Stegostoma tigrinum: one gene and its partner. The protein of the gene in region 1 purifies or fractionates together with the protein of each later gene. This does not show direct contact. Links are inferred from orthologs where the notes say so. Each region holds a gene or a part of one and is shown on either strand. Other genes may lie near its edges.

What was found. The genes of interacting proteins can lie anywhere in the genome.
Region 2: the proteins of protein arginine N-methyltransferase 8-like (region 1) and RNA-binding protein EWS-like purify together in Homo sapiens (affinity purification with mass spectrometry; 3 studies listed by BioGRID and IntAct, counting the BioPlex papers as one, with this or other methods). This does not show direct contact. The link is inferred for Stegostoma tigrinum from reciprocal best matches to the Homo sapiens genes PRMT8 and EWSR1.

The regions. Positions count from the first base shown.
Region 1 is NC_081371.1:47,536,246-47,546,601, forward strand, and holds the start of protein arginine N-methyltransferase 8-like, read right to left. Parts: upstream 4,739-10,356; 5' UTR 3,672-4,738; intron 2,042-3,671; 5' UTR 1,922-2,041; intron 1-1,921. UniProt on the Homo sapiens protein: S-adenosyl-L-methionine-dependent and membrane-associated arginine methyltransferase that can both catalyze the formation of omega-N monomethylarginine (MMA) and asymmetrical dimethylarginine (aDMA) in proteins such as NIFK, myelin basic protein, histone H4, H2A and H2A/H2B dimer.
Region 2 is NC_081379.1:21,258,027-21,267,989, reverse strand, and holds the start of RNA-binding protein EWS-like, read left to right. Parts: upstream 1-5,453; 5' UTR 5,454-5,784; coding exon 5,785-5,797; intron 5,798-9,581; coding exon 9,582-9,618; intron 9,619-9,963. Other genes in the region: rhbdd3 (rhomboid domain-containing protein 3), read right to left, coding at 4,662-4,830. UniProt on the Homo sapiens protein: Binds to ssRNA containing the consensus sequence 5'-AGGUAA-3'. Might normally function as a transcriptional repressor. EWS-fusion-proteins (EFPS) may play a role in the tumorigenic process.

The DNA.
Region 1 (10,356 bases):
GAGCGCTGCACTGTCAGAGGGTCAGTACTGAGGGAGTGCTGCACTGTCAGAGGGTCAGTACTGAGGGAGTGCTGCACTGTCAGAGGGTCAGTACTGAGGGAGCGCCGCAGTGTCAGAGGGTCAGTGCTCAGGGAATACTGCACTGTCAGAGGGTCAGTGCTGAGGGAGTGCTGCACTGTCAGAGAGTCAGTGCTGAGGGAGTGCTGCACTGTCAGAGGGTCAGTACTGAGGGAGCGCTGCACTGGCAGTGGGTCAGTGCTCAGGGAATACTGCACTGTCAGAGGGTCAGTGCTGAGGGAGTGCTGCACTGTCAGAGGGTCAGTGCTGAGGGAGCGCTGCACTGTCAGAGGGTCAGTACTGAGGGAGTGCTGCACTGTCAGAGGGTCAGTACTGAGGGAGCACTGCACTGTCAGAGGGTCAGTACTGAGGGAGCGCCGCACTGTCAGAGGGTCAGTGCTGAGGGAGCGCTGCACTGTCAGAGGGTCAGTACTGAGGGAGTGCTGCACTGTCAGAGGGTCAGTACTGAGGGTGTGCTGCACTGTCAGAGGGTCAGTGCTGAGGGAGCGCTGTACTGTCAGAGGGTCAGTACTGAGGGAGCGCTGCACTGTCAGAGGGTCAGTACTGAGGGAGCGCTGCACTGTCAGAGGGTCAGTACTGAGGGAGTGCTGCACTGTCAGAGGGTCAGTGCTGAGGGAGCGCTGTACTGTCAGAGGGTCAGTACTGAGGGAGCGCTGCACTGTCAGAGGGTCAGTACTGAGGGAGCGCTGCACTGTCAGAGGGTCAGTACTGAGGGAGTGCTGCACTGTCAGAGGGTCAGTACTGAGGGAGTGCTGCAGTGTCAGAGGGTCAGTACTGAGGGAGTGCTGCACTGTCAGAGGGTCAGTACTGAGGGAGCGCTGTACTGTCAGAGGGTCAGTACTGAGGGAGCGCTGCACTGTCTGAGGGTCAGTACTGAGGGAGCGCTGCACTGTCAGAGGGTCAGTACTGAGGGAGTGCTACAGTGTCAGAGGGTCAGTACGGAGGGAGCGCTGCACTGTCAGAGGGTCAGTACTGAGGGAGCACCGCACTGTCAGAGGGTCAGTACTGAGGGAGCGCTGCACTGTCAGTGGGTCAGTACTGAGGGAGTGCTGCACTGTCAGAGGGTCAGTACTGAGGGAGTGCTGCACTGTCAGAGGGTCAGTACTGAGGGAGTGCAGCACTGTCAGAGGGTCAGTACTGAGGGAGTGCTGCACTGTCAGAGGGTCAGTACTGAGGGAGTGCTGCACTGTCAGATGGTCAGTGCTGAGGGAGTGCTGCACTGTCAGAGGGTCAGTACTGAGGGAGTGCAGCACTGTCAGAGGGTCAGTACTGAGGGAGCGCTGCACTGTCAGAGGGTCAGTGCTGAGGGAGTGCTGCACTGTCAGAGGGTCAGTACTGAGGGAGCACTGCACTGTCGGAGGGTCAGTGCTGAGGGAGCGCTGCACTGTCAGAGGGTCAGTACTGAGGGAGTGCTGCACTGTCAGAGGGTCAGTACTGAGGGAGCACCACGTTGTTGGAGGGTCAGAACCGAAAGAGTGGCCCACCATTGGAGGGTCAGTACTGAGGGAGTGCAGCACGGTCAGAGGATCAATACTGAGCAAGTTTGCTCTGGTATTGGATCAGTGCTGCATTGTTAGGTACTGAGGGAGCACTGCACTGTCATTCAACAAAAATAAGTTAGGGGAAGCAGTGGCCTGGTGGTTTTATCATTGGACGGTTAATTCAGAGACCGATTTAATATTCTGGGGACCCAGGTTTGAATCCTGCCACAACAGATGGTGGAATTTGAATTCAATAAATATCTGTAATTAAGAGCCTGTTGGTGATGAATCCATTGTCAATTGCCAGGAAAGACCCATCTGATTCACTAATGTCCTTTAGGGAAGGAAACTGCCCTCCTTACCTGGTCTGGCTTACATGTGACTCCAGATCCACAGCAATGTGGTTGACTCTTAACTGCCCTCTGGGCAATTAGTGATGGGCCATAAATGCTGCCCTGATCAGCGACGCCCTCATCCCGTGACTGAATAAAATAAAACAAAAGTAAGTGAAATTTATCTGAGTTGTTTTGTGCAACTTTAATTTTTAATTTACATCATTGAGCAGGCTGGTGTGTGTAATTGGTTGTCTGTGTTTCAGGAGACCCAAGTGCTCAAAGGTGGAACACGCATATTTTTGCTCATTTTGAGACTGAGAATTGAGCTTCTTTCAGTCACATTGTTGACCCCAGCAGACTCCTTGCAGAGAGTGGGATTGTTTTACTGTTGGTCCAGAATTTCATTGAGTTACCATTACAGAGCTAAGCCACTCTTTGATCTGAAGTCAAGCAACACCAGGTTATAGTCCAACAGGTTTATTTGAAATCGCAAGCTTTCAGAGCTCTGCTCCCTTATCTCGTGACAAAGGAGCAGTGCTTTGAAAGCTTGTGATTTCAAATAAACCTGTTGGACTATAACCTGGTGTAGTGTGGCTCCTGACCTTGTCTATCCCAGTCCAACACCAGTGCCTCCACATCAGTCTTTGATCTTTACACGGGCATCGCTTGAGTTTGATAGCCCTCCATAACTGCTATTGAACTGAGGATAATTAAGACCATGTTTTTGTGGGCCAGGAGTTGCATGGAGGCGAGACCACGTTCACTTCTTCTCTATTGGCCATTCATGAAACAGATGGGTTTTTACAACAATTGATGATAGCTTTATGGTCGCCATTGCTGACTGAGATGAGCTTTCAATTCTAGATTAATTTATTGAATTCAAATTCCGCCAGCTGCCATAGTTTATATGAGCCAGCATCCCCAGAGCATTAAGCTGGCATGTGACTTACACTCCAGTGACAATCACTGCTGTGTCACAAACATACCCTATTTTGGTGTAGGTGCAGCTTGTACTGCACCATCACTGCAGCCCCTCACCCTACTCTAGCCTCACTACATTCATCTATTCCCCCATTTCTTTCCACTCTGGTTCTGTGGTATCCCTTTATCTGCATCTATGCTATTCACCTCAAACTTATGCTACAGCAGCAAATTCCACATTCTGGGTTCCAACTCCCTCCACCTTCTACTTATCAGGACCATGTTTAGCTTTCTGTACTAAAGGATTTCTATTTTGTAAGTACGTATTGCACTGATATGTAAGATTTGTGCCTTTGCTCTGATTTTACAGGTTTGGAGAATCATGCTTCATTTGCTGTTTGTACAGAACAAAAATGGACCAGTGCTGACAACTGAGCTCCTTCACTCTGACAGTATATTAATTGCTACAGAGTTCCTTTAGACCGAGTTAAAAATTATTGAAGCTTTATATCTATGTTCAAGAATGCTGAGACAATATTATTCACAAATCATTTATAAACCAACCTGCTTTTCTGACCTTGCATGCTGCTGTACCACTGACTAAACCTTCACTTTAATGAAGATATTGCCTGATAGCTTTGGTTAAAATTTAACCTGAGATCCAGTCTTGCAAAGGATCTGCAGTACCATCTTAAACTGCATCAGATGGAACCTGTACGCCCACTTACTGATTTCAGTACAAACGTGAATGAGAATATGTATAAAGTGTTAATTTCACATATTGAAGTTGCTGCTATTCTGATCTCTGGACTGATTTTTTTTTAAAATTCACACATGGAATGTAGGTAACACTCACTGGGTCAACATCAATTGCCCATCCCTAATTTCCCTTCAGATGATGGTGGTGTGCTGCCTTCTCTGAACCTCTGGAGTCCATGGTAGGCCCGTAATGCCCTTAGGAAGGGAATTCCAGGATTTTGACACAATGAATGAACAGAGATGTATTTCCATTTCAAGAAGGCAAGTGACTTGGAGGAAACTTGCAGCTGGTGGTGTTCCCATGTATCTGTTGCCCTCTTCTTTCTAGATGGAATTGGTTGAGGGTTTGCTGTCTAAGGCTCCATGCTGATCATCTGTTGTGCATCTTGTCAATGGTACTTACTGCAGCTACTAAGCATCAGAGGTGGAGGGAATGGATGCTTGTGAAGGCAGTGCCAATTAAATGGGCTGCTTTGTCCTGGCTGGTGTCAAGCTTCCTGAGTGTTGTTGGAGCTGTAGTCATCCAGGCAAGTGGGGAGTATTCCATCACGCTGCTGACTTGTGCCATGTAGATGGTGGAAAGGCTTTGAGGCATCAGGAGGTGAGTTACGTGTTCGTTTTAATTTGTTGTCGTGTGAATTTATTGCAAATACAGTGAGAAGTTGCCACTATCCAGCACCATCTTAAAACACCGAAAATAAACTGAAAAACAGAATATAATGCCAGAAAAGTAAAACAATAAAGTTCATCTTATAGTCTCATCTCAATAAAGTAAGGCGGCCTTTTCATCTCCTGCTTCCAGCTCAGCCATAGGCCTGGATCCAGGCTCCTCCACCCTGATGCCTCGACTCTATGCTGCTAAACGCTGCAGAAACTGTGTGCTTGGCCGCTGCCTCCCCGGGGACAAAGAGCTGTCACTCTCCTCGCCAACTCGCCTCCACTAACCCAGCACCTCCGTGTGCTCACACTGGGCCAACATCGCTGATGCAGCTCCGGCCAGCACAGCTGGGTCCCGCGCTGGGACCAAACTTGTTGCAGCTACCCCCATCAAGTGCTGAGGCCTAGCCACTGACCTCAGCTCAGCCTGCTCGCCTGGACCAGGGGATTAAGTCTCGGGCCTGCTGCTCACAGCTCGTGTTGCAGTCTTCTGGTCTTCTGTTGTAGCCACTGTGTTTATGTGGCAAGTCCAGTTGATTTTCTGGTTAATGATAATTCCCAGGATGTTGACAATAGGGGAATCAGGTCAATTCCTGCTACACTGGTTTTAGCAATTGATGATTAACTCTTCTGTACTAACTGCCTCAATCACTATGTAAACTCACTCACTCACACGATTGTCTCACTGATGTTTTTGATGTCAGTTATTCAGAACTTAACAAATTGTTGCTAGTCTCGTCTGTTTGGTCCTTTGAACCTGCTGCATCATTCAAAGGGGTAATTGCTGATCAGCTCACTCAACTCAGCCTTCCCACGCTTTCCCCTTGATTAGAGTCCAAAAATCTGTGGACTTCTGTTTTAGACATACCTTAACCTCAAGGCATTGCAATGAAGATTCACCAGGCTGATTGGCCTATGAATAGAGAAGGCATACATTTGCTAGAGTGTAGAAGAATGACAGGTGATCTCATTGAAATATTAAGTGTCTTCTCAAGGATAGATATTGAGAAAATGTTTTCCTTGCCTGGGAAGTTAATAATGTAAGGTCACAGTCTCAGGACTGAGATGAGGAATTTCTTCGGAGCTTCCACAGGTCTCTGGGGCACAGAATTCCATCGAACCAGCCCTCCTGAGTGAAGAAATTCTTCCTCATCACACTGTACTCCCGAGTGTGATCTTCCTATGTGTTCTGTATAATTGCAGTAAGGACATTTAACCAGGAGGTGGAGTCAGGTACCTCTTCCAGAATCAAGGTTTCTGTTAACTACGAGCGTTATTATTAATCAAACTGTTCAGAGATATTATGATACGCTGCTGATCCAGGGAGGCTTAAACTGAGATTTCCTGGCTCAGAGGTAGAGACACTACCACTGCATTATAAGAACTGATTTCTGCTCAATAATTACACAACTGCTCCGTATATATTTATCCCTCAATCTGTTGCACCCACTGATCTAATTAAACATGCAACAATGTCACACCTTTCAAGAGATGCCTATTCCTGAGAGCATGTGTTAAACTATAACTAAATTAAGCAAAGATTTGCTTGTGAGAAATAGTAATGTGAAATGCTGAACTGTACTATAAATGATTTTAAAAAGGAATGCGTCTTCACATTAAGTTCCATTTCAAATATTTAATTTTTTTAGTTTATTAGTTGTCAGGTACTGACCCCAGCTGTTGGCCATATTGTTCAAGTCAGGGCCCAGTGAAACCTGGCTTGATAGATCATAAATTTTATTCTTGAATAGAGTCATAGAGTAATACAGCCCAGAAACAGGCCCTTCAGCCCAAACTTGTCCATGCTGACCATGTACCCACTCAGGTGGTTCCAGTTGCCACATTTAGTCCATATCCCTCTAAACCCTTCTCATCCATGTACTGTCCAGATGTTTTTTAAATGCTGCTCTTGTACCTGTCTCAATCACTTTCTCCGGCAGCCTGTTCCATATATGCACCATTCTCTACGCGAAGAAGTCATCCCTCAGGTCCTTTCTAAATCTTTCCCCTCTCACCTTAAACCTCTGCCCTCTAGTTTTCAATTCCCCATCCCTGAGAAAAAAGACTACATGCGTTCATCCTGTCTATGCCCCTCTTGATGTTATACACCTCCCTGGCCACCCCTCATTCCCCTACATTCCAAGGAATAAAATCCTATCCCGGCCAACCTCTCCGTATAATTCAGGCCTACTAGTCCTGGCAACATTCTCGTAAATCTTTGCACACTTTTCAATTTAACTATGTCTTTTCTGTCACAAATGACCAAAACTGTACACAATACTCCAAGTGCGGCCTCACTGATGACTTACACAACTATAACATAACGTCCCAACTCCTATACTCAGTGCGTTGACTGATGAAGGCCAGCATGCTAAACGCATTCTCCACCACTCTGTCCACCTGTGATGCTGCTTTCACAAACTATGTGCTTGATGTTTGTGGTTAGAATTTTGGTTAATCCGTGAACATGTTCACTTGAGGCTGTCAATGTACTTTTAACACAAAAAGATTTTACGTGAAAGCAAAATAAAATTATAAATATAAATGACAATTTAGAAAAACCATTACCTAAACATCCCTCTTCCCCTTTCACTCAGTTCCAATGAAGTTGCACATCTGCCATCACTTTAAGATTTCTTACTCAACTGAATTCTTCCTGATGGCCTGAACTCTTTAAAATTCGGACAGCTTAAAACGTTTGTATAAACTCCTACAGCTTGGAGACTTCGCAAATGAACATTCTCTTCTGCAGATATGAAGCTAAACTTGTGAACTCAAATCTGATTCTAGCCTATGTCCACCTGCCTTTCAGTAGTCATAAAAGTTTCCATTTGCTCTGCCGATAACTTGCTGGTTACGCAACTTAAACCCTATACATCTTGAAAGTTACATTTTAATTTCCTGTTTAAAAATGACTTTCTGACCTTTTTAAAAAAAGTCACATTCACAGAACTGAAACCAAAACTATTTACACACACGCACACTCACACAAGGTCAGGAATAGCACCTCATATTTTGCTTGGGAATGCTGCAGCCCAGCGTTATCAATGTGGACTTCACAAGCTTCAAAATCTCCCCTTCCCCTACTGCATTCCTAAACCAGCCCAGTTCATCCCTGCCTCCCCAACCTGTCCTATCCTCCCACCTCAAGCTCCACCCCACCTCCTATCTACTAACTTCCCCATCCCCTTGATCTGTCCGTCCTCCCTGGACTGACTTATCTCCTCTCTACCTCCCCACCTACACTCACCTTTACTGGCTCCATCCCTGCCTTTTTGACCTGTCTGTCTCCTCTCCACCTATCTTCTCCTCTATCCATCTTCTATCCAACTCCCCCGGTCTCCCTATTTATTTCAGAATCCCCTTCCCCTCCCTCATTTCTGAAGAAGGGTCTAGGCCGGAAACGTCAGCCTTCCTGCTCCTCTGATGCTGCTTGGCCTGCTGTAATCATCCAGCTCTACACCTTGTTATCTCTTAATTGTAATCATTGTTGGATACTTCACTGCTGTGCTGTGGATTGCTACATTATCTTTTTACTGTTTGAGGTGAGGATAGTGATGTTGATTGTCTGTGGTTCAGGCAGGTTTGTGGGTGACTTTTAGGGTCAAACAGTACCTGGAAGATATAAGTTGCATTTCTGCATAGGGATATTTTGAATCACAGACTGCTTTAAAGAAATTCAGAGGAGAGCTCCTCCCATCAGTAACAACTTTCAGAGGTATTGGCTAAAATCAGTGCCAACTTGGTGTCGTCTGAGGCAATATTAGGGAGGGTGAGCAATTAGGATACTGATTAGGAGATAGATCACCTGATGAAAGATGGCAGGGAGGCTGTACACTGCACTGGCAACCCTGCTGGGAGAGGTGGGTGCCGCTGAGATAGGTGTGAGACAGCTTTTACTCTGCAGAGTGGAAGGATCCTCTGAGGAATTGCAAATGATTTGAAATGATTCATCACCACAGTTGCCAGCCCTGCCTTGTAAGAATGCTCTGGGGGGAATTTAAACATGAGGTGTCGGGGGTGAAATATAGGAGGGTAAATCAACAGGTTTTGTGAGTGGACAGAAATTTGGCAGATGGAGTCTTACCTGGGAAAATGTGAAGTTGTTCACCTTAGCAGGAAGATTAGATAAGAAATATAGTATATAAATGGATATAGGGGTTGCAAAACTTGGTGATACAGAAGGATGTGGATATCCTGGTACATGAAGCTCTTGATGTTAATATGCAACTGCTGCAAGTGATTAGACATACAATTAGATGATTGATATTTACTACAACGGGAATGCAATGTACAGGTAGGAAATTCTGTTCCCTAGAGAGCAGTGGAGGTTAGGCCATTAAATTCATTCAACACAGATTTCTCATAGACAAGAGAGGGGAGAGTTATTGGGAAAGGGGTCAGATGGGAAAGAGTAGTTGGGGCCGCAACCAGATTAGCCTTGACCTTAACTGAATGGTGGAGCAGGCTGAAAAGGTCTCCTGCTCCTGTGTCGAGTTCCTATATTCCCTCTTCTACCGATCATGTTGCTCATTCCATGTTTTACCCTCAACAGAGCAAAGCCATCTTAGTAATCAAATGCTCAATCAATCTGCCCTAATGACTGATTCCTGACAACAATGGATGTTCCCACTGATAGGATGGTTAGGATAATATAGTTGAGAGTTCCTGGGTAGCTGTTTGATAATAGCCACATGTTGAGCAAGTCGTTGGAGAAATAAGAAGAAAAAGAAACTAACTGTAGTGGTCTTTCAAGGAATCACAATCTTACTTAACGTTGGAGCACATTTGAAGGGCCAAATAGCCTTCTCCAATTCCTAATCCTTTATTAAATGAAATGTGGTGATGTCACTGGCATTAAAATAGGACAGTCAGTTAGTGCCCACCACTCAGTGCCCAGCAGTGCCCAACTCTCAACTTCCAGTCCCCAAAACTGAGGAATATGATGTTATCCATAATATGTACTGTACCACATGTGATTTGAACAAAGCAGTTTGAATGTACAGCCAAGTACACTTTCTGTATATGATGGTTGAACATTGCAGCTCATCATTGCAGTAAATAGCAGATTGTACGTAACTAATAGCCCCACATTGAAACATCTGAAAGTTGCAGCAATTCCCTCCAATGAGAAATTGTGAATTCTTGAATTAATGTCAAGCTCATTATTTTACCACCTCCATATTTTGCAATGAAACCCAAGGAAAAGTAAAGCTCCCTCAAAAGATGGAAGAGCTCAATAGATCAGTCAGCGTAAGGGAGAGAATAAAGTTCACGTTTCAGGGGTTGAAGTTCGTTAGAATAAACTGTGATGTTTCTCTAGAATTTTCTTTCTCATTTCAGAATTCTGGCATCTGGAGGCTTTTTGGATCCTAAGCCAAAACATTTGAATTTTCAACAGAGGAACCAGGCTCATTTACAGTTACCTCAGTGGTAACTACCCTCCTGATGTGGTCACTCCTCTCCCAAATTCTGTAATCTCCTCTAATCCTGGCCTCTTTACCACTCTCTGTCTCTCCAACTTTCTTCCCTCCTTTACAAAACTTCTGAAAACATACCTCTTTGGTAAGTGGTTGGTCATAGAGTCATAGAATCATACAGCACAGAAACAGACCCTTAGGTCCAACTCATCCATGCCAACCATAATCCCAAACTATAGAAGCTCCACTTGTCTGCAGTTGATCCATATCCCTCCAACCATTTCTCGTTCATGTACTTAATCAAATGGCTTTCAAATCTGGTAGCTGTAACGGCACCCACCACTCCTTCTGGAAGTTTATTCCACACACAAACCATGCTGTGTAAAAAAATTGCCCTCGTCTTTTTTAAATCTTTCTCCTCTCCCCTTAAAAAATATCCCGCTTTAAATGGCCCACTCTGGGGAAAAGACACCTGCCATTCACCTTATCTATATCCCTCATGATTTTATAAACCCTTATAAGAGTCACTTCTCAACCTCCAATGCTCAGTGAAAAAAAATCCAGATAATCCAGCCTCTCCTTATAGCTCAAACCCTCTATTCCCAGAAACATCTTTGTATATCTCTTCTGAACCCTCTCCAGCTTATTAATATCCTTCCTGTAACAGGGAGACCACTCTGGACACAGCACCCATTGGTCATTGGA
Region 2 (9,963 bases), on another chromosome or scaffold:
ACCTAACAGATCTCTGTTCAGCTATCCACTTGTGCTTTCACCACTCCCTAGGCTAGTTGCATTGGAACCATGGCCCACTCCCTGAACTGTAAAGGAATGTATCCCGACTGACCACTCAGATGGTCAACTGACCACGTCCAAGCTCATGGTCGTATAGCAGAGATGGGCTTTGACTTACCATGCTGAGGCCTCCTCATTTAAGGACTTTGATTTGACTGAGGACTACTCCTCTTTCAGTTTAAGACTGAGCAATTTCCTTGAAGCACACATACTGTTTGATACGTTTGCAGCTAGCATATGTTACTGTTGAGAGTTTGACGTAGCACGGGTGACAGCCAACATATCATTCACCTAGACTGCTCACTGCTTGTGTCAAAAAGCAAGGTAGGACAGAATATCAATGAGCATTTAGGCCCTGAAGGTGAAAATGACAAAAAGGCAAGGCAACAGTGCTGCGAGCTTCGAATTGGGTGTGAAATGAGCGAGCACTAAGAAATTGAGGAAGTATCTCTGTGACGTACTCGTTAAATCCATGAGGTGGGTGCCCATACTTCAACACATAGTGTCATTGAAGATGTGTTACAATGAGAGGTGCTGGTGTGCTCTAAAGTATAGCACTGAAGTGTAGAATTATATTCTAAGTGCATGGGAGATGTGCCATGATGATGTGGTGAGGCTGGTACATTTTGGATGCCAAGGTCTGTGCTCGTGGACCATGTGCAATCACTGTTCATGAAGTATGTCTTGAGATACTGGCGACTGGTGTCCAAGATGGAGGTCTGGAAGAACAAGCTGCAAGCTTAAATCACTAGGTCATATTTTCATGTTGGGAATTCTCATCGACTAGTTTCTACTTGGCAGACGGGAGAATGGAAAACTAAATATTAATGAAATGAAATTAAGTAATAAAAAGATGTTAATGCAAGCAAATGAGCCTCTCGCTGCTCATTAGTGAGACTTTGTCGCACTATTTAACACCTATCCGCTAAAAATCGAGCAGAAGATTCTACAGTAAACCAGGAGGAAGTTCTCCTAATTCATCTTTCAACCAACACCACAAACAAGGAACTGCTAATTAACTTACTTCCTTTGCAACTTTACTCTGCATAATTTTCTTGCTGTATTTATCTACTCTGACAGTGAAAGAATTTGCACTTATAGCAGACAGACACATCTTCAGAATGGCTGAAAGTATCTTGTAGCTCATTCATTATTCGGGAAGTATAGTCTGTTTGATCATAGGAACTTACAACACAGAAGGAAGCCATTTGGCCTGTCCTTGAAAGAGCAGACATTTTTAAACCCCCATGTTTTTTTTAAAATCCCATAACCCTTATTTATCCTCTAGTATGGTTATATTTATATTTATTTATGAATCAGCTTCCATCACCTGCGGAGGTAGAGCATTCCAGACACTGAAAACTAAAAGAAAAATCCACATCTTCGCTCTTCTTACCGCAATAACTTTAAATCTATTACCTCCAATTGTTGAGTCTAGAGAGTTTTGTCTCTATCAAAATAACTGATCATCCAGAAAACCTCAGCCTCATCCCACACCCTTGACCTGTCCCTCCTCCCTGGACTGACCTCCCTAACTCCCCACCTATGCTCACCTTTACTGGCTCCATCCCTACCTCTTTGACCTGTCTGTCTCCTCTCCACCTATCTTCCCCCTCCATGCACCTCTCCCTCTCTCCCTATTTATTTCAGAACCCCGTTCCCTCCCCCATTTCTGAAAAACGGACTAGGCCTGAAACGTCAGCTTCGTTGCTCCTCTGATGCTGCTTGGCCTGCTGTGTTCATCCAGCTCTAATCTTGTTATCTCAGATTCTCCAGCATCTGCAGTTCTTACTATCTTTGAAATATATATTTGGGGTTTTTGCTGTTGAAGAATAAACATTGATCACTACATTTGGGAACACAACTATGTTTTCTTTTACCATGAGCTATTTTAGCTCCAGCTGAAAGATCTCACTCGAAAATGAACATTTCCAATCATGTGATGATCATTTAATAGCGCACTGAATTGTCAGTCTAGAAAATGAAAATGTGGCATTTAAAGTTGCCACTTAAGAGGTTATGCCACAGCTGTACAAAACTCTGGTGCGGCTGCACTTGGAGTATTGTGTACAGTTCTGGTCACCGCATTATAAGAAGGATGTGGAAGCTTTGGAAAGGGTGCAGAGGAGATTTACTAGGATGTTGCCTGGTATGGAGGGAAGGTCTTACGAGGAAACGCTGAGGCACTTGAGGCTGTTTTCATTAGAGAGAAGAAGGTTCAGAGGTGACTTAATTGAAACATATAAAATAATCAGAGAGTTAGATAGGGTGGATAGGGAAAGCCGTTTTCCTAGGATGGTGACAGCGAGCACGAGGGGGCATAGCTTTAAATTGAGTGGTGAAAGATATAGGACAGATATCAGAGGTAGTTTCTTTACTCAGAGAGTAGTAAGGGAATGGAACGCTTTGCCTGCAACAGTAGTAGATTTGCCAACTTTAGGTACATTTAAGCCGTCATTGGATAAGCATATGGATGTACATGGAATAGTGTAGGTTAGATGGGCTTCAGATTGGTATGACACGTCGGCACAACATCGAGGGCCGAAGGGCCTGTACTGTGCTGTAATGTTCTATGTTCCTTACTTGCAGATCAGAATGTTATCATTCAGCCAAACAGGCACTTGTTTGCCCAAAGTAATTGTTTGTACTTCTTTAGGATTTTTAGGGTAAATTTCTTTGGGCCAGCAAAGCATTCCAAAGGAGAAAGCCAGGGGCTATGGGGTTAATTTATGCCAGTGCAAAATACTGCTGCAGCTGGGAACCTGATACAGAAATACAAAATGCACAAAATACTGAGGAGTCGAGAAATCTGCGGGCATTTTGCATTGAAAAGCTTTAATCGGAATTTGTGAATTAGCTTCTAATTGCTCAGTAAAGTAGTGCCACAGACACATCTGTGTTTTAAACATCTTTAGTCCAAATACATGTAAACCATTTTCATCTTTATACAATATTACAAGGAATGCAATAAAAATGTAATAATCGTTGGTCTATAAATACATGTCAAATGAACTATAGTGTATGGGAAAGGTAATGAACATTATATTGATTTCAGATTTCCTGGATATAAAAGGAATCTGGCAAGTAAATGTCTGTATTCCTAAAATTAAAAGATTTGCTTTTCCACTTTCCTTTCAAATTGATGGATGCTTCAAATCCTGGGCAGTTTAAAATTGGCTCAGTGGCAGGACACACAGGGTGCTGATTGAAGGTTGTTCTTACAACTGAATGTCTCGTCCAGTGACATACCACAGGTTAGTTTGCATTAATGATTTAGTCATGGATGTTGGTGATTTAATCAGTTTGTAGGTAACAAAAAAAAACAAGTGTTGTAAACAGTGAGGACAAAAACTTTAGACTGTGGGAAGATATGGTTGGTTTCCTCAAATGGCTAAAAGTTAGAAACTGGGTTTAATGCCAAAAAGCATGTCACATGTATTTTGGGAAGAACAGCAAGGTAAAGGAGTACATGATGAAGTAGGCCTGTGCATGTTCATAGGTCCTTGAAGGCAACAATACAGATGGATAGGATAGTTAAGGCGGCATATGGGATTCTTGCCTTTATTGAGTGAGGTAGTGAATACAAGAACAAGGAGGTTTTGATGGAGCTGTGTCAGATGCAGGTTAGACCATAGCTGGAATTGTATCTCTGGAATCATAGAAATGTATAGCACGGAAACAAATGTATCAGTCTAACTTGTCCACGCCAACCAGATATCCTAAATTAATCTAGTCCCATTTGTCAGCATTTTGCCCATATCCCTCTAAATCCTTCCTATTCTTATATCCATCCAGATGTCTTTTAAATGTCATAATTGTACCAGCCTCCACCATTTCCACCGACAACTCATTCATTTTGCTTGGAGCAGAGAAGGCTGATGCAGGACCTGGTTGAAGTATACAAATTATGGAGGGCACAGGTGGGGTCAATAGGAATATATTTTCCCCCTTAATACAAGAAACACAAATTTAGGGTAAGGGCAGGAGCTTTAAAAGAGATCTAAGCAGAAGATTTTGTCACGCAGAGGGAAATTGAGTATTTGGAACTCTGGCTGAAAGGCGGTGGCCAACATTTAAGATGTGTTTAGATGTACACTTGAAGTGTCACAGCATACAAGGCTACGGACCAAGTGCTGAGAATTAGGACGAAAGTAGACAGGTGCCTGACGAACCTACATCGATACAATGAGCCAAAGGGCGTCCTACTATGCTGTAAAACTCTATGACTGTATTTCCACATATAAATGATAACCGAAGCAAACTTTACCATTTTTAACATCTAAACTAGGATGCAACTCACATTAAGTGTTACAGCGTAGACGGAGACCATTCGATCCATTTTGCCTGCACCAACTCATCAAACAGGCATCATTTTCTTAGTACCAGTCACCTATTTTTACTCCTCTCATACTCTTGCACGTTATTTTTACCCAAGTATTCGTCCAAAACACTACAGGCAGAATTTCTGGCCCAATCCGGTCGTCAAGTCAGAGGCTCGGTGTGTTTTGGACAGTTTGCTATGGAGTTATCTCGGATTAGGATTTAGTCCCACCATCCAGTAAATTTGCTAATTTGGTGGTGGATGAGGATGAGGCACTTACCTTGGCGGTGAGAGAGCACCGAGCTGGCTGTCAGGGTAAAAGCCTCCTCGGGCCCGGTCAGCCACAACAAGAGAACAAGGGCGAGGAAGGCGGCGCTGGCGCTCGGCACCCGGGCCCTGACTCGGGCCACCCCGAGGCCGGCCCGCACCCAGTCGCCGCAGCGTCCCATCCCAACCCCCGGCGGGTCGGAGAAGAAAATGTCTTGATTATTGTCGCCGCGACATCATGATGATGATAATAATAATATCGGGGTGGGTGTGGAGTTCCTCCGAAGACCTTCTTACTCGGTGCCCGATCACCGGCCTCCCTCTTCGTTGGCTCTTTACCGGGGTGGAGACACCCACCACACCCCTGAGATACACCCCACAACAGGACCGAGCATCGCTGACTGGCGTCGAGCAGAGAGGGAGGGAGACTTGAAGGAGTGAAGGGCGGTGTTGTCTTTACTACAGCCACGTTATGGCGGATCTGATTATATTAAAACAAAACCTCCGTGCAAGGTTACGGATTGTATGACAGTGGAGACGGTGCGTTTTATTTCAGCCCGCTTTCAAACCCGTGAGGAAAGACATAATGTCCGCGCGCCCAACGCAATGGAGGAGAGAATCGAAAGAAAAGAGAAGCGGGGATACGAGGTACGCATAGTGATGGTGGCTGAAGCGAAATGGCCGCGTTTCCATCGCGACCGGCCCGGAACCATCAACAAGGCGCTACATTCCCTCCATTGTTCTACCCGAACGGTTTACCGCGTTACGCTGGACGCATCAGTGCGCCGCCTTGTCTTTAAATAGCGCGACGTGGAGGCAGACATTTAAACATAAAGCCTCGGCCGCGAATCGGCGGATAGAGGCCAGCCCCGTTCTTTCGTAATCATCGTTTTTTTTTAAATTTCGTTTTGACAATCCTATGTAAAGCAGAGGGGAAGGGGTCGTCGGCGGTGTCCACCTGTAATATCTGCGTAACAATTTGAGAACTCGGGCGGGATCGTGGCGATTGGAGTCGAGGCCCTTTTTTTTGAATTAAAACATTTCCGGCGCGAGTTGCGCAAGGCGCCAAATTAAGTGGTTGAGTCCGGCGGGGCTCCGCGCAGGCGTGTTTCGCAGGCAGTCAGAGGTCGGTGAAGATGGCGTCGACGGGTAAGAGGGAGTCTCTAACTGTTGGCATCGGATTTAAAGGCGCTCGGGTCGTATGCCCGGTTACCCCACCCACCCCCGGACGATAACGGTTCTTTTCTGCTTTCGACCTCACCACCGGTGTTATTTTATTTTCTGAAAAGGGTTGTTGGTCGCCGGCGATTACATCGAGTTTTTTTTCTTTCTTCTCCCCACACCCCCCCCCCCCCCCCCCACTTAAGATACCATCTAGGAGGCGTTTTTTTTAGAAAAGATTGGAAGAGGGTTTAGGCCTCAGTCCCCGATATCGCGTGTCGGGTGATTTTTTTTTGTTGGTGGTGGGGGGGGGGAGTGGTGAGGGAGGGTGAAGAAAAGGGAGGCTGGTGGATTGGCCGGCCTTGTAGCCGTTGGGGCCTCGGGATGTGTGTGTGTGTGAGAGCGAGAGCGCACCTCCCCCGCAGGAACGTAGCTGCGCCACAAAGCTGCGGGGGTCAACGTGTGAAAGCCGACGACGAAGCCGGGCCCGCTCCGCTAGTGTTGACCGGCTGCCACTGCCGCCACGCTCCCTCGCCCTTGGGAGACTCCGAGGCGGAGTTTTCACCGACGGGGCGGAAGTGTGTCCCTTTCCTGGCGATCCGTTAGCGTCGAGGCCTAGTCGGGGTGGGGAAAGGAGAAGAGGGCGAGGGTCAGCCAGTACAACGTTTCGTAACAAATACTTTGCGTAGAGATTCATCTCCCCAGTCCTCTATACGTATTTTCGAATCTGGTGTGATTAAATTGATTTTTTTTTAAAAACTGCACCATTTGGGATTTTGCAACTTTTGAAAAGTCGGTTCGATTTTTTTTCCACCCCACCAAAATCGCGCAACACTTGCTACGAACCGATCGGCTCTTTATATCGGCGTGGCTCATTTTACATTTTTAAAGAATGTTTTTAACTGTTGGCACTGTGCCAAAATGGAGTCGCGCATAGGATCTGAAATTTCTTTTTGTTTGACGGTACTGTGGGGACCGCGTGTGACTTAGTTCAAATTGATTCTGTAACTTTTGGATGCAGCAAGGTTTAATTTTTGGGTTCATATACGTTACCCTCTGGTAGCGTACCAAAGGTTAATCGTGAACTCTCTAATGTCCTAATGATTTTAGTGGGAACTCAACATTTGCATGTTTCCGGTTAAAGAACATGGGGTGACTTTCGTCGTCCTCTTCAATATCTTTTACTGGTATTGAAAATCGCTGGCCATTGTGTGACTTTTTCTTTTTTTTAATAAATTTGAAGTCTTGACTGTGGTATATTTTTACATTCATATCCGGGATTTGGTATTAAAAAAAGTCAAGTTTGTACGTTCACTGCTGAATAAAGCCTACATAAAACAATTCAAACGTTTAGCCCAGTAATGCTCCTAAAATTACTTACACCTCGCATCCTAAAAATTGAGCCTTTTGATTCTTTGTGTCGTTTGTTGAGACCTGCTAATTTAAACTTTTAAGGGTCAGTCTCCTGTCATCTGTGGCATTGACCATGGGTGTCTAGTGTTCATCAATAAACTGGGAAGGGCTGCAGTGGAGAACGAGGAAGCCTTTATTATCGATAGTTATTCTACTTGGGACTTGGGTACAGAATTGAGGGTTCTTATGGGAAAGGAAAAATAGACTTTAAGCTGTTACTGAAATTGGTTATTAGTTTAAACTGACCTTTAAACTATTTTGGTTGTAATCATTCAATGAATGCAGGATTGACCGAATTAGAGCTTTACTGGACCTGTGGATGGCAGCTTCTCATCCTAGAAGTCAAAATTAGAAAAACCTCAGTAAAAGCTACATATGTTGTGTCCACAGTTAACCAGGTTTCTGGAGTGGGCCCAAAACTAAATGAGATGTATAACTGTGGTTGGTTGGAGGCATAAATTTTCTTTGAAAAGCTGTCTATACTAATATTTCAACAGGTGAAAGTTGAGGAAGGGGAAAGGATTCTATAGGCTTCATAAGACATGGGAGTGGAAGTAAAGCGATTCGGCCCATCGAGTCCATTCTGCCATTTAATCATGTCTGGGCGTTTCAACTCCACTTCCCTGCACTCACCCTGTAGCCCTTAATTCCTTTGTGAGATCAAGAATTTATCGATCTCTGCCTTGAAGACATTTAACGTCCCGGCCTCCAGTGCACTCGGTGGCAGTGAATTCCACATGCCCACCACTTTCTGGCTGAAGAAATGTCTCCTCATTGCTGTTTTAAATCTACCCCCTCTAATTCTAAGGCTGTGCCCACAGGTGCTCGTCTCCCCGCCTAACGGAAACAACTTCCCAGCATCCATCCTTTCTAAGCCATACATTATCTTGAGTTTCTATTAGATCTCCCCTCAACCTTCTAAACTCTAATGAATACAATCCCAGGATCCTCAGCCATTCATTGTATGTTAAACCTACCTAATAATTAATAGTTGCATCTCATTTCAAATATATTCATTGGTAAAGGAGTAAGGAGAGGATTTTGATACATGTAAGTTTCTATGCTTACGAGCTTTTGTGTGTCTTGGATGTAGGAGGAATTGCTAACAAGTACAAATGCAGCAATACAGTTTTGGAAGTTGATTTGGGGCTTAAATTCTTAATCAAAGCAATGTTGCAATATACATATACAATGGGTTTTTATGCTGACTTTTTTCTCTTGTAACATTCAAATGCATACAAATGTGCACACCATGGATTTGATGTGAAAATGATGTACAAAGGCTTCCCATACTCTGCAAATGTATAATTGAGCAATTCTGGTGAATGAAAATTGACGAGTAGTTTACAGCTTTTGGCTTGAAATTTCAAACTTAGCAAATGTAGGTCACTTAAAATGGCTAAGGGAATCAGACAAGCAATGTTTGGGATAAACAACTGAATAACAACATAACTTGGGGCGGCATGGTGGCTCAGTGAGGTACTGGTGCCTCACAGCACCAGGGAACCAGGTTCAGTCCCTCCCTCAGGTGACTGTCCGTGTGGAGTTTGCCCGTTTTGCCCGTTCTCCCCATGTCTGTGTGGGTTTTCTCCCACAGTCCAGAGATATGCAGGCTAGGTGGATTGGCCATACTAAATTGACTGTAGTGACCAGGGATGTATAGATTAGGTGGGTTACAGTGGGATAGGTCTGGGTGGAATGCTGTGAGGTTCGGTGTGGACTTGTTGGGCTAGAGGACCTGTTTCCACGCTAAGGATGCTGTGATCTATACATCTGTAGCTTTGATTTGGAGACCAATATGATGGAAAACAAAGCTAAGGAAACCAGAATTTGAGAGATCTGTATTGTCATATTGGCCTTTTAAGCTTAACCTCTTGACATGGTTATTCACAATTATAACTGTTCCATGATATCATCTCTGGCCCCAATGCAGCTTTGTCTTGTGTGTTGGCAGCTGTATTCAGTCATTCTGACACGATTTTTGTTGAGATTGTTGACTGAATCAAAGTATACCAAAACCCATATAGATGGTCTTACTTCAAAAGTTTTTTGAGGTGTTTTGGTTTCCTTACCCAAATAGTTTCTTCCTTGAAGGGTGAGAAAAAAATATTGCTAAGAATTACAATTGTTCCTGTTCTGTTTCATTGTCTAGAAATGCAGTAAGGGATCCCAACCATGTCAAGATAATTAATGGTATTTTGGTGAATTTTTTTTAGTGAACTGCAAGTAATATTTCATATGGATGTGGTGCAAACATATATTTTACTAGATTTTTATCACTTCTATTTTGTAAAATAAGAAACCTACTTTAAGCAACTTAATATATTTAGTTGAGGAAAAAAATCCTTTCTTTTTATAGATTATAGTACCTACACTCAAGCTGCAGCTCAACAAGGGTAAGTGTGATTATAATCAACATTTGTACAATGTGGATATACATTTCTACTAAGTAAATTTTGAGGGAATTGTTATTTCAGACACTTGCAACCTGCATAATTTACTGTGCCAATATATTTTCCCATTAACAGAAAGTTCATTACTCATTTCCACAAATGAATGTAAACCAGAACACTTGTGAAATTGCTCAGGATGCTCCTCATGTTACTGTGGTGCAGAAAAGTCATTCAGTGATATCTTTGTGTCCTGGTTGAAATTTTCATAAACTGATTTCCATCATGCCATCAGTAGACAGCCACGTTGTCAGCTGTCTGAAGCAGGCCACAGTAAGTGTCGGTACACAT